Linked DNA regions of Drosophila melanogaster. The protein of the gene in region 3 interacts with the protein of the main gene of each other region in a pairwise test. Each region holds a gene or a part of one and is shown on either strand. Other genes may lie near its edges. The genes, in order: CG5687, mRpL32 and CG3740.

Evidence for each region.
Region 1: the proteins of CG3740 (region 3) and CG5687 interact in a two-hybrid assay, tested with the Drosophila melanogaster proteins (one large-scale study listed by BioGRID).
Region 2: the proteins of CG3740 (region 3) and mRpL32 interact in a two-hybrid assay, tested with the Drosophila melanogaster proteins (one large-scale study listed by BioGRID).

What each region holds. Positions count from the first base shown.
Region 1 is NT_037436.4:1,937,286-1,941,040, reverse strand, and holds the start of CG5687 (uncharacterized protein), read left to right. Parts: upstream 1-1,937; 5' UTR 1,938-2,447; coding exon of another isoform or gene 2,448-2,543; 5' UTR 2,544-2,600; intron 2,601-3,755. Other genes in the region: CG46523 (uncharacterized protein), read left to right, coding at 2,448-2,543.
Region 2 is NT_033777.3:31,250,775-31,254,244, forward strand, and holds mRpL32 (mitochondrial ribosomal protein L32), read left to right. Parts: upstream 1-2,097; 5' UTR 2,098-2,144; coding exon 2,145-2,229; intron 2,230-2,284; coding exon 2,285-2,524; intron 2,525-2,580; coding exon 2,581-2,843; 3' UTR 2,844-2,884; downstream 2,885-3,470. Other genes in the region: qless, read right to left, coding at 908-1,120; CG1750 (uncharacterized protein), read right to left, coding at 2,885-3,249, 3,305-3,467. UniProt on the Drosophila melanogaster protein: Component of the mitochondrial large ribosomal subunit (mt-LSU). The mitochondrial ribosome (mitoribosome) is a large ribonucleoprotein complex responsible for the synthesis of proteins inside mitochondria.
Region 3 is NC_004354.4:1,667,906-1,671,452, reverse strand, and holds CG3740 (uncharacterized protein), read left to right. Parts: upstream 1-2,155; 5' UTR 2,156-2,443; coding exon 2,444-2,645; intron 2,646-2,664; exon of another isoform or gene 2,665-2,708; coding exon 2,709-2,929; 3' UTR 2,930-3,047; downstream 3,048-3,547. Other genes in the region: hfw (halfway), read right to left, coding at 1-637, 1,516-1,533; dor (deep orange), read right to left, coding at 3,083-3,547.

The DNA.
Region 1 (3,755 bases), on a different chromosome or scaffold from region 3:
TATTATCGATGCCTATGCAGCTCAGCAAAACCAGAGTGGCAACGCTATCGAACAAGGCCCGCAATTTGAAATATTAAGAAAGTTTTACTACATATATATGGTGAATATTGAATTGCAATGACGGAAGTGCGATGACTTCGCAAAGCCAGAATTAAGGCCAGCAACTAATTGAGACATTCGATAATTGAAAATATTAATACACAGAAAGAAATGGAGCAATTTATTGTTAGACAACTATATATTGGAAAAAACTATTGAAAGTAAGAAATTCATTTTCATTTAAGCTTTTTTGGATTGCAAAAAATTTAAACATATATATTGGGTTCCTTGGTGAAAAGGAAAATGTTCTTTTCTGTGCTGTTTTTATAAACAAGTGTTTTAGCAATGTCAACGCCCACTCTCATTAGTAAATTAATTGACTACTACGCTTTCTCCAATTCCCATACGATGGATAGAGGGAGGACGGAGGAGGGGTGCTTGATCTTGTGTAATGCCGGAATCGAATCCAAAATTCTTTTTATTGGTATTGCGTATTTTCAGTTTCGACAGCACGCAGCCAGCACGTGTGAAGATTGTCTTGTAATGTTTGAAAAACCGTTCGGATCTGATGTGATGTGATTTGATACCCACCCAACCGGACCAAAGTCCGAAAGAACCACTTGGCGGACGAGGGGCTCGACCAGTTTTGTGACGTCTTCGGCCACTTGCATCCGAGGAACAGAGTTAGCTGGATTTGCTTTGGATATGGATGGGGATGGGGATTTGGAATGGAATGGAATTGGAATGGCATGGGATGGGATCGTTTCGGGCCTAAACACCGAGACGCATTTGCCGAACTGCTTTTAACTGCTTTTCGTCGGCTGAGGTAGTTGAATGGCCAAGATTTACATGAGACTGTTAGTTAACGACATGGCGGGCATATTTAATTAATGCAACACGCTTCATGCTTAAGTGCATATCTGCCTAGCTAACTCACTGACCTTTAGAAAAATGGGCGTCGATTTGGTGACTTTCCGCTTGGGGGGAAGTACCTGCTGAATATTTGGAGACCCCCTTTCTTTTTGCCACTACATACTAGATATGTACATACATTTTACATTTATCAATTTATTGCGATTTGAACTCTTTTTGAACTGACCGGCGCCGTTTCAGTTCAAATTTAAATTCAAACTGGGAATACATTTCAATTAGAATTAAACACCCACACTGGCGCACAGGAATTGTAAACAAATAATTTTCTATTAGCGGGAGAAAGAGTGTCATTCCTGATCAAAATCGTACCAGATCGAACTCGTTATCGTTATCCAAGTAAAACACCACATAGCCAGCAATTGAGGCGAGGCGACAAGTGTACAAAAAACGAAAGATATAATCGTTTCCATTATTAATTGGCGCACTTTTTGCCTTTGTGACTCGAGTTACTTAAAAAGTAATAAAGGGTGAGACAAATGGAAATATTTACACATCACGCAATCCCAAACTGGCCAAGAACCAGCAATTAAACTTTTATGTTTGTTTACAGCGCATTTCACTTGGCTCAACTTGCCACAATTAACAATCGCCATCGAGGGATATGCAAAGGAGTTGGAAAATACCGGATATTTTCCGGCCATTCGTGGAGCGTCTTCTGCAGAATTGAAAATGAATCTTCGCATATGAATCAGAGCGTTTCAATTCCCTGAAATTAATTGATAGCAATTTAGGAAACGGTTTGGCAAACATTTATACACGATTTTCAATTAAACGTTTCCTCAAGCTTATTTTACTTATACCCATCATATTTTTATATACATTTACTTAATACCTACATACCTACCTGATTATAAGTTTCCTATCATTTTCTCAATCTACTAACCTTTTAATTTAAAGTTATATAATATTACATTAATAAACATTTAATATTTAATATCTGTTTCATTTATAGTATGAACCATAATGTCTTTGGTTTTATTTTTTAAAATAGGCTTAGTGCCCAGAGTCTGTTGAAAATAAGTTGCCTATATCTTAGCACTCCACACGACCATTGGCTGGCGATCGAGTTTCCCTCTCCGTGGAGATCGGCGATATCATATCCGGCGACGCTTCGCCTGCTCTTAGATCGATTTTCTCTCTTCTTCGCTTTTCAGACCCCAAAGAGATCTCGATGTGGTGGGGTTCCCGAAGCTGAAGCTGGGAGCCCGAGATCTGAGATCCGAGGCCTGAGATCCGAGATCTGTGATTTGCCTGCGCCGCCTTGGGTGTTGTATAAAATAGCGTAACGGCCGCTTGCAAAACTCATTCATTTAAAAATTGTCAATACGTTCGAACAGCGATCGACGACGAGCTGGGAAAAAAGGGAAACAACTAGTGCTCGAAGTGAAAAAAAAACTACGGCAAGGACTCGGCTCGAGGAACCAAATCCAAACAGTGATCAGTTTCATTTTGTGACTAACTAAGAAAACACGTTAATGAAATACAGAAACAATCGTGGCACAATATTGCAAATCCAGTTCAGAACATTTCTAAGATACAGTGCAGCAAACCTAATTCCATTTGAGAGCTAAACGAAGACGACAACCGAAGGATATCGAATTTGACGAATTGAAAAATTACTAACCAAGGTGAGAAGTTGTTCAGTTTTTCAGTGAAAGCGGCAATGCATGCCAGTGAGTTATTTCGAAATTTATCATACCGATTGTCACTGATAATTGGTAGTTGCAAAATATCTCAGAACATCAGAATAGTAAAAAGCATTAGCCCAAAGGAAATTTATTCCAATTACTCATGACTAACTAAAACTAGAGTAAAAAGTTGCGAGGGCAAAAACAATTTGTAAAATGCATTTGTCGAACAAGCTAATAAAGCTGAAAGTATTTATACCCATTCCGAAGGCATTTTAATATTTTGTCGCTTGTGTTACTTCACTCTGTTTTTTAGCTGGCTAATCTCGCCAGTTTTGAACTAGGTAATGTTTGCAGCTGTCGTGGCCGTGGAAAATCTCCTTGCTTGCGATTGGTATCTTCTGCCAACTTGTCAAGCGGACTATTTTGTTTAAATTAATTATAATAGAATAGAAGCGAGTTCGCCCAGACGAGATAAAAAAAAAGCCGAGGAAAGCAAAACAAAACACGCATATTAATTGGGCTCGAAGACGATGATGATGCCATTTAATGGAAGCGAAGGGCCTTTGGAATGGGCTGGGCGAAAGTCCACCAATTAAGCCAGACGCCTGTCCTCAACCAGAGCCCACAATTCATTTGACCCGTGTGTTCCTCCACCAAGGAAAACGGGTTTCACCCCAAACACAAATAGCCAACAAACAAATGAGCAATAAATATGATTTCGTAGTTTAGATTACTCAAATCAGAAGTTTGTAAACTTGAATAAAATATTCTACGATGAGCTAGAAACTAGAAGGAGCCTAGACCATTCCTTACTGGTATTTTCTCTCTGTGCATCTGGACATCTCTCTTGTGGTCGGGCCTTTTGCTCTTAGTTTCCGGCCTTGCCTTCGGAGACTTGGAAGCTGCTCTTCGAAGATTCGCCGAGCGATGGCGAATTTCTGGCCCAAACCGGCGCAATCCGGCTCAGTCCAATGGCCACCGATCTAAACCAGTTGAATTCGCTTAAATCTCGATTGGCGCGCTCGCACTCCCCATTTTCGCTCAAACATTGTAGCCCAATCTATTCGCCATTCAGGCCATATGGTGCATACATGTCCATGTCGCACAGGAGCAGCTTTTCTCAAATGGTTTGATTGGCCGGAAAAGTGGGCG
Region 2 (3,470 bases), on a different chromosome or scaffold from region 3:
AACACAATTGAGATATTACGTATACGCGCAGTTCCCAGTCAAGTGGAGCACAGTTTTGGGGGCACTGGCCCCCAATCAGCTGTTTATTGGCGCCACAAATAGCGCGAAAATCAACAACGCGGGCGATAAATATTGATAAATACGAGCAATAAACCAGAGCTCAAATGCAACCAGCGAAATTGCATAACTCAAAGAAAAAATGAAAAAGGAAGAAAAACACTGCAGGCTAGCGACTTGTCAACGATATAAAAATAATGACAAACTACAGACAGACCAGAAAGAGACATAATTATCGGGCCAGAAAGAGAGGCAGATGAAAAACTTCACCTTGCAAAAATGCGGGGAAAAACACATGGAAACGTTGCGGAGAAAAACAGAGGCGTTCGGCAAATGGTAAAAAAGCCAAGGCACAATAATAAATAAATGCGCCAGCTTCCGCCAACAACAACACTGCAACTGTGGGCGCAACAAGTTGTTTTTCACGCTACTTGCACAAAAGCAATGGCCAACAACCAACAACCAACAAGCAACGGACAACTGCCAGCAACCAATTTCACTTTCATTTTCTTTTTGGCTTTGCAGCGAAGAAAAGAAAAGCGGACAGCAAAAGCCAAAGTCACGCAGACGCATTAGCGGCCAAAAGAGTTGGCTTGCAGCCAATGCACTCTGCACGGCAAAAAAAAAAAACTAATACATTTTCAATCCAATTTTATAAGGATTTATTTCACATTTGCAAATTTTAAAAGGAATCACTTAAATTGTACTGCTTATAAAAAGTATCTTTTCCTTTTCAAGTTTACCAGAAATGAAATCCTCATATTTTCCATATTTTTCTAACTTCAACTATTTTTACCATTTAACACAACACTTTTCTCGCTGTGTAGGCTTCGCCCGACAGTGAACTTACCAGCAGATCGGGGTAATCCTTGCCCATGCTGAAGCTTAATCCGTGGTAGAGTCGCATGGCCTGCTGTTGAACTTTGGGCGGACTGAATAATCCGGTTGCGGCGGACGGGGCTGTATATCCTGGCCGGGATCCGAAGAGCTGATAGAGCAGCTTGTGCGCCTGCTGGCGACGCGAGCCGCACACGACGCGACCGGAAGTGCTCAAGCAGGCCATTTTGTGGGTTTTGTTTGTGAGGATTTGTAAGTAGCAGGGCTTATGCGATGGTTTTTTTTTTTGTGGGAAGGGTAGGATGCAGCTTCTTGATCGAGACACAGGCACAGAATTCAACAGGTGAACAGCATTATAGTGGGTTTTGTTTATGTTTTTTGCAGGCTCGCAGGATTTGAAAAACGCGCGATTGTGTGGCGAGTTCGGGGTATCGATGGACTAACGATTTCGAGGCGACGGCGAAGCGCGGTTTGCTTGCGTTTGGCTTCAGCAGCTCCAGCGAAGTGTTTTCGCTTTTTGTGGATTTTTGAATCGATGCGCGTGCGCGCGGTCAGGTGTGGTGGGAATCCCACTGGCCGACTGTGGTGGAAACGATCGCTCACGAAGGTAAGATCGGCTTGAACTTGAACGGGGATTTCGGTGGCTAAGGCAGCCACGCGGTTTTACAGTCACTGGGGGTCGAGGTCTGTTTGGATGACCCCAGGCTACCTATGGGTCACACTATTGGAGGGATATATCTGGACTCAAGCGTTGCTCACAGAGGTCCTATGGCCACTACCGCCACTACCAATTAGTCCCGCCAGTGTCCTCATGTTCCGCAACAACTGGGACGCTCAAAGATCCCGATGAAAACGCGTTTTTCCGCCTGGCAAATAGTTTTTATTTAACTCGCACGCAATTTGCACCTTTTCACTACTTTATTTTGACGTAACAGTGCAGAACAGCTGCTGCGAACAGCTGTTTAGGGTTGCAACGTGCGCGGTGACGCAAGGCAGCCGGCTAAAACGTAGCACTAGAAGTGTGCAACGTAAGGCGACAAAGTCTGCAACCTTAAAACGGTAGTTATTTACGGATGCTGACATTATTTTAAAAGTAGTTACACCATTTTTATTGCTCTTTTTTGAATTAACATTTTTACATCTATTTTGTGCCTTACTTACGTTTTTCTATAAACATATCGATAGCACAGCTGTTTCCTCTTGCGCATCTCTAATCACGTTTACGTAAATTTCAGAAGAGCAGCAACAAGATGTCTAGAAATTTGTTTTTATCAATTACAAACTTTATTAGGAACTTAGAGAGCTTGTTCCTGCCACATGGAGGACACCCTCCTGGTGAGAAGCACCAGCCCAAGATAAAGTTACCCTGACTTACCCACTTTTTACACAGCTTTAGCGTTGGCCGGTTTTCAGCATGATCACAGCCCTAAATCCTCCCAGGAATTCAGTTTGAAGCAGCTTATTGGCGACGGATTGCTGTGGGCTGTTCCGAAGCACAGAAGATCCGTGGAGAAACGCCTGAAGCGGAAGTTCGGATATCCGGAATACAACTGGAAGCCTTTGAGGGAGAAGAGAAACCTCCGCTCCTGTCTGCAATGTGGCCATGACCACGAGATGGGAGTTCTTTGTCGTAAGTAGCCTTAAAAGTATACAAAGAGGTAGCCACCTTTAATGTTGCTCTTCCAGCCTTCTGCTACCAAAAGGTCCTGAAGGAGACTGAGCTCATGCAGTCGAAAATCCAGGAGACACTCGGTCTAGATCCCGTGGACAAGGAAGTAATCGTTCTTTATGAAGGCGAGAAGGCCGAACAGTCCACAGATGATCTGAAAAACAAGCGCATCGTGGAGATGAAGAAGCCTCGTCCCATGTGGTTCACCAAGAATCTGCTCCAAAAATCCACGCAGCAGCTGTCCGAAACCAAGGAAGTCAAGCCCTCCGACTTGGCCTAGATACTAAGCATCCATTGTGCATTAAATCCACACGTTCGTTATCAAATCGATGCTATTTTATTCTCTGTGAAGGATAAGGACCTTGCTTGCTTCAGGAATCCGTTGTTAAAGTCCTGGGCACTCATAGGTTTTCTACCTTCCACGCGTAACTGAAGCACTTCCAACTGACTCTGCTGAGCACATCCGATTATGAGGGATCTCGACTTCCTTAGGTAGCTGATGGCACCAGGTTCTTGGACGGGAACTCTCTTCTCCGGTAATCGCAACTCCAGCAACTGCACTTGCTTGCCCAAAAAGTTGGTTGTAAGGTTTTTGTAGCCATACAAAGCTCGATGACGAGTGTATATTTCAATGGCACTCAGCTCGGACCAGATAATTTCTGTGATTTTACTGGTAATCTTGGGAGCTGAAGGCAAAAATATAGTTTATATAGGTTCTCGAAGTGCTTAGATATGCTTTACCATAGCTGACCCTTGAACTATCTTGGGGTTTGGCTTCCTTAAGTCTTACTGATAGGTTGTTAATAGTATCCACAAGTAACTCGGCTCCTAGCGACGCCAAAGATGCATGCAGATCCGGCATGAAGACATCGGGATTAATAGCCACTTCTCGCTGAGCTAAAATCTA
Region 3 (3,547 bases):
CGTGCAGGTTGGTCCACTTGGATATGTTGCTGCAGCTTGAGATCATCGTCAGCTGCGATATGTTGCAGCAGTACCAGGAGTTTGGCCGCGTCGGGTGCTCCCTGCACTGGCACTGGCTGTTCCCCTGTCCTCCTCGGTTCTGGGCTTCCGACTGCGCGACTGTCGAGCCCTGGCCCTCGGAGGTTTCGGCTCGTCCGTCAAAGGTGTGGCCACACAGCTGCTCTTCTGCATAGAAGCAGTGCTTCAGATACTCGGGCTGTTCGGGAGCAGCCGGCGGAAGGGGTGCGGGCGAAGTGGTCGACGTGGTCGAGGTGGAGTGCGATGTGCTTGTGGATGTTGTGTCTGTCACAGATCCCGGATCGGACATGCTTTGCGTCTCGGCCAAACTTGATGCCGTCGTGGTTTCCCCAATGCCCACGTTATCAGTTGTTAGGATGGGAGCAGGTATTGCTGTTCCCTGCTCATCTTCCTTCAGCGGCGCATGGGGATGGGCATGGTGATGATGGCGAGCCTGTGGATGTGCGTGTGCATGTGGAGTAGACTCCTCGCCTAGTGCAGCCGGATCCGGTGTGTGTGCTATTTCTGGCCGCGCGCATGCGCCTGCTACAAGGAGCAGCAGGAGCAGGAGCCATGTGCCCTGCAACGACAACGACAATCAAAGGGCGCGTTAAAGCGAATCGAGTGGGGAAATGGGAAAAACGCCGTGTCGCACGTTGGACATACATATGCAAATATTTGCTACACCAGACGCGTTTGTTTGCAAATCGAATTAGACCGACGAGGGCTTGGCCTGGCTCGTCCTCCAATTGCCGTAATTAGGGTAAGTGAGGCACACCCTGTACGCATAAGTTGCTGGGCCTGCGGCTCTGGGAGTCGGGAGGGTCTTCGGTATCCAACTGGTTTCTAATTGTTTGCCCACTCGATTTAGCGTCTTGCGGGCCAACTGCCAACAACACTGCCATGCTAATTCGGCAATTAATTAACGAATCGTATGTGATAAAAGGGCAATAAAAAGATTAATTGTGTTAGGCAGCAATTGTGGGCGGGTCGGTGTCGGTTGGTGGCAAATTGTCGGCTTCGGCATGGAGTGGAAGTGGAAGGGGGCTATTTCCAGATCTTTGGCTGGTCAAAACAGCATAACAGTTTGGTATTACCATAGGCCAATAATAGGTTTGGTATGGAAAACATTTCCTTTTTGGCTTAAATGTTCCATAGCGTGTGAGGATACGAGGATTAACTAAAGATGGCCTCTGATTTCAAGGCAAATGCGCTTCTTTTCACAACTACAATATGAGAAATACCTATGCTGTATGAGTATAATAACTGGGTGTGGTATAAAATATAGAGCCATGGGTAGTATAACCTCACTAGCAGCACCCCTCCCTCGGAGCAATTTAGAGTGCTTTCGAGATTATAAACACAATATCAGTATCGGCATGCCCATGTCCATACCCCTACCCCTCCTGCTACAGGTACACCCATACACTAGCAGAGCTGCATGCGCATTGGACTTACGTGGGTGTACGCGAGCATGTCGCCTCCGAAATGAATTCCACTAGGTGCTCCCTGGCAGGTTTACTCCTCGACTAGGTGGCGCGGGAACGGAGCGGTCATCCACATCCGAGGAATCGCAATCATACGGAAGTGTTCACAATTTAAATGCTTTGCGCACATCCCAGTCCCAGCGGAGAGGAGCTACTTTCTGGGCGGTTCTGCAGGCTCGTTCGGTCCGCCAGGTGATCTGCCACAGATCCGTGCATGGGAAGAATCGGTCGGGTGTGATACGTAGGTGAAACACAAAAGTATCTCGACTCGAATTGATAAACTACGAACAAAACAAAATGCAAATGTTAAGTGCGCGCAGCGCAGCAGAGCACTCGCTGTTAAGTCTGATGTTAAATGCTCTGTTCGCCGCGGGCAATCGACTTATCGATACAGTGACATCGTTTGCACTGCGATTCGATAGTTGGCAAACGTAATCCGTTGAATCAATTTATATAATAAACACATATATATTTAATTTATTGTTCATCTTTAACTTAGCAACAGGACAGTAATAACCTATAGGATTAATATAAGAAATTTAATGTATGACCCATAACAGGAATGGGTTAACACATAAGGGTTAAGGCCATATATCGATATAAACGTCGATTGTGACCGCCGTTTGCGCATCTCTGAATCTGGCGCTCACAAGTTTAATCAAGTTGCTGTTTTTTAAGTCAAATATAAGCTTTTTAATAGTTCCCTTCAAGCGGATTCCGTGAAATTGTTTATGTTGTCGAGTAGCAAGTTGGAGAATTCAAGACCAACACTAAAAGGCAGGATACAAACGGAACGGGTGGCGTAATCGGAAACGTCATACTGCCGCACGGAACAAAGTCTAAACAGGAAATACTAGCATAGCGTTGCGAAATTCGGGCCAACTCCACGTAGCCTAAATATGCCCATAGATACGCGCGAGTTGATGGAGGCGATAGCCATCGTAGCGGACGAGCGCAACGTCCGCGTCGCCGTCAAGCAGTCCGGCAAGGGAGCGGCAATCTGCGCCGCCTGCTCCTTTGCGGGTGGCATGCTCCTGGGCCCCGTTGGGCTGGCGGTTGGCGGGGCCGCCGGCGGAATCGCCGCCTACAAGATGACAAGCGGTAAGCGGAGGAGAACTCCCGTACTCAGTCTCACTACATTTCCACTTCCCTCCTCCCGAACAGGCACATTCCGTCCGCTGGGCGAAGTCATCCTAAACGACCTGACGGACGCACAGCGAGAGCAGCTGGTGCAGCACGTAACCATGGCCGTGGCCGACATACATCCCACCGACGTGGTGATGCTGCTGCCGCTGATTGTCCAGAACGCCTCCATTCAGCAGGCTGTGCTTAACACTGTCATGTCATTCGTGACCAACGAGTTGCGCATGCAGATTGTGGACTGACCTGCTCTGCGGGCAAGTGGGCGATGGCCAGGTAACTGTAGAATTTGGACGGCTATCTCAGTCGAAACCTTTGTGATCAGTGTAGGTTTATTTATAATAATAAATACTTTATATGTACATAAATATTTGGGTCTGAACGACGGTGGTAGCGAACTACTCCCACTCGACATTCACCTGCTCCCAGTCGTCAACGAACGGCTGGTCGATGGTGCTGATTAGCAGCCCGCAGAATAGGCAATCCGCAGCAAGAATATCCTCGATCTCGGTTTTCAGTGCCGCCCTCTTCCGCTGCAGCTCCATCGCCTGCTGTTTGCTCAGGGCACCTGACTGCGGTTGCGCCTGCGTTTGCACCTCCGCCTCCAGTTGCTGCTTTAGAGTGCCGAGGCGCCGACATTGCTCCTTGGTGAGCAAGGGCACAACGTGCTTCTCCAGGCAATCGCTGTGGAACTTGTGGCCGCAGATGAAGATGAAAAAGGGCTTAACCAGCAGCATCATCTCGCAAATTTCGCAAGTATCCTGAGACTCAACGGTGAGGCTGTGCTGGCGCAATTGCTGCAACTCGGCGGTGACGCGATCGGTTTGCTCCGTAGTCTCGGCCATTTCACGCTGCAGCTCCTG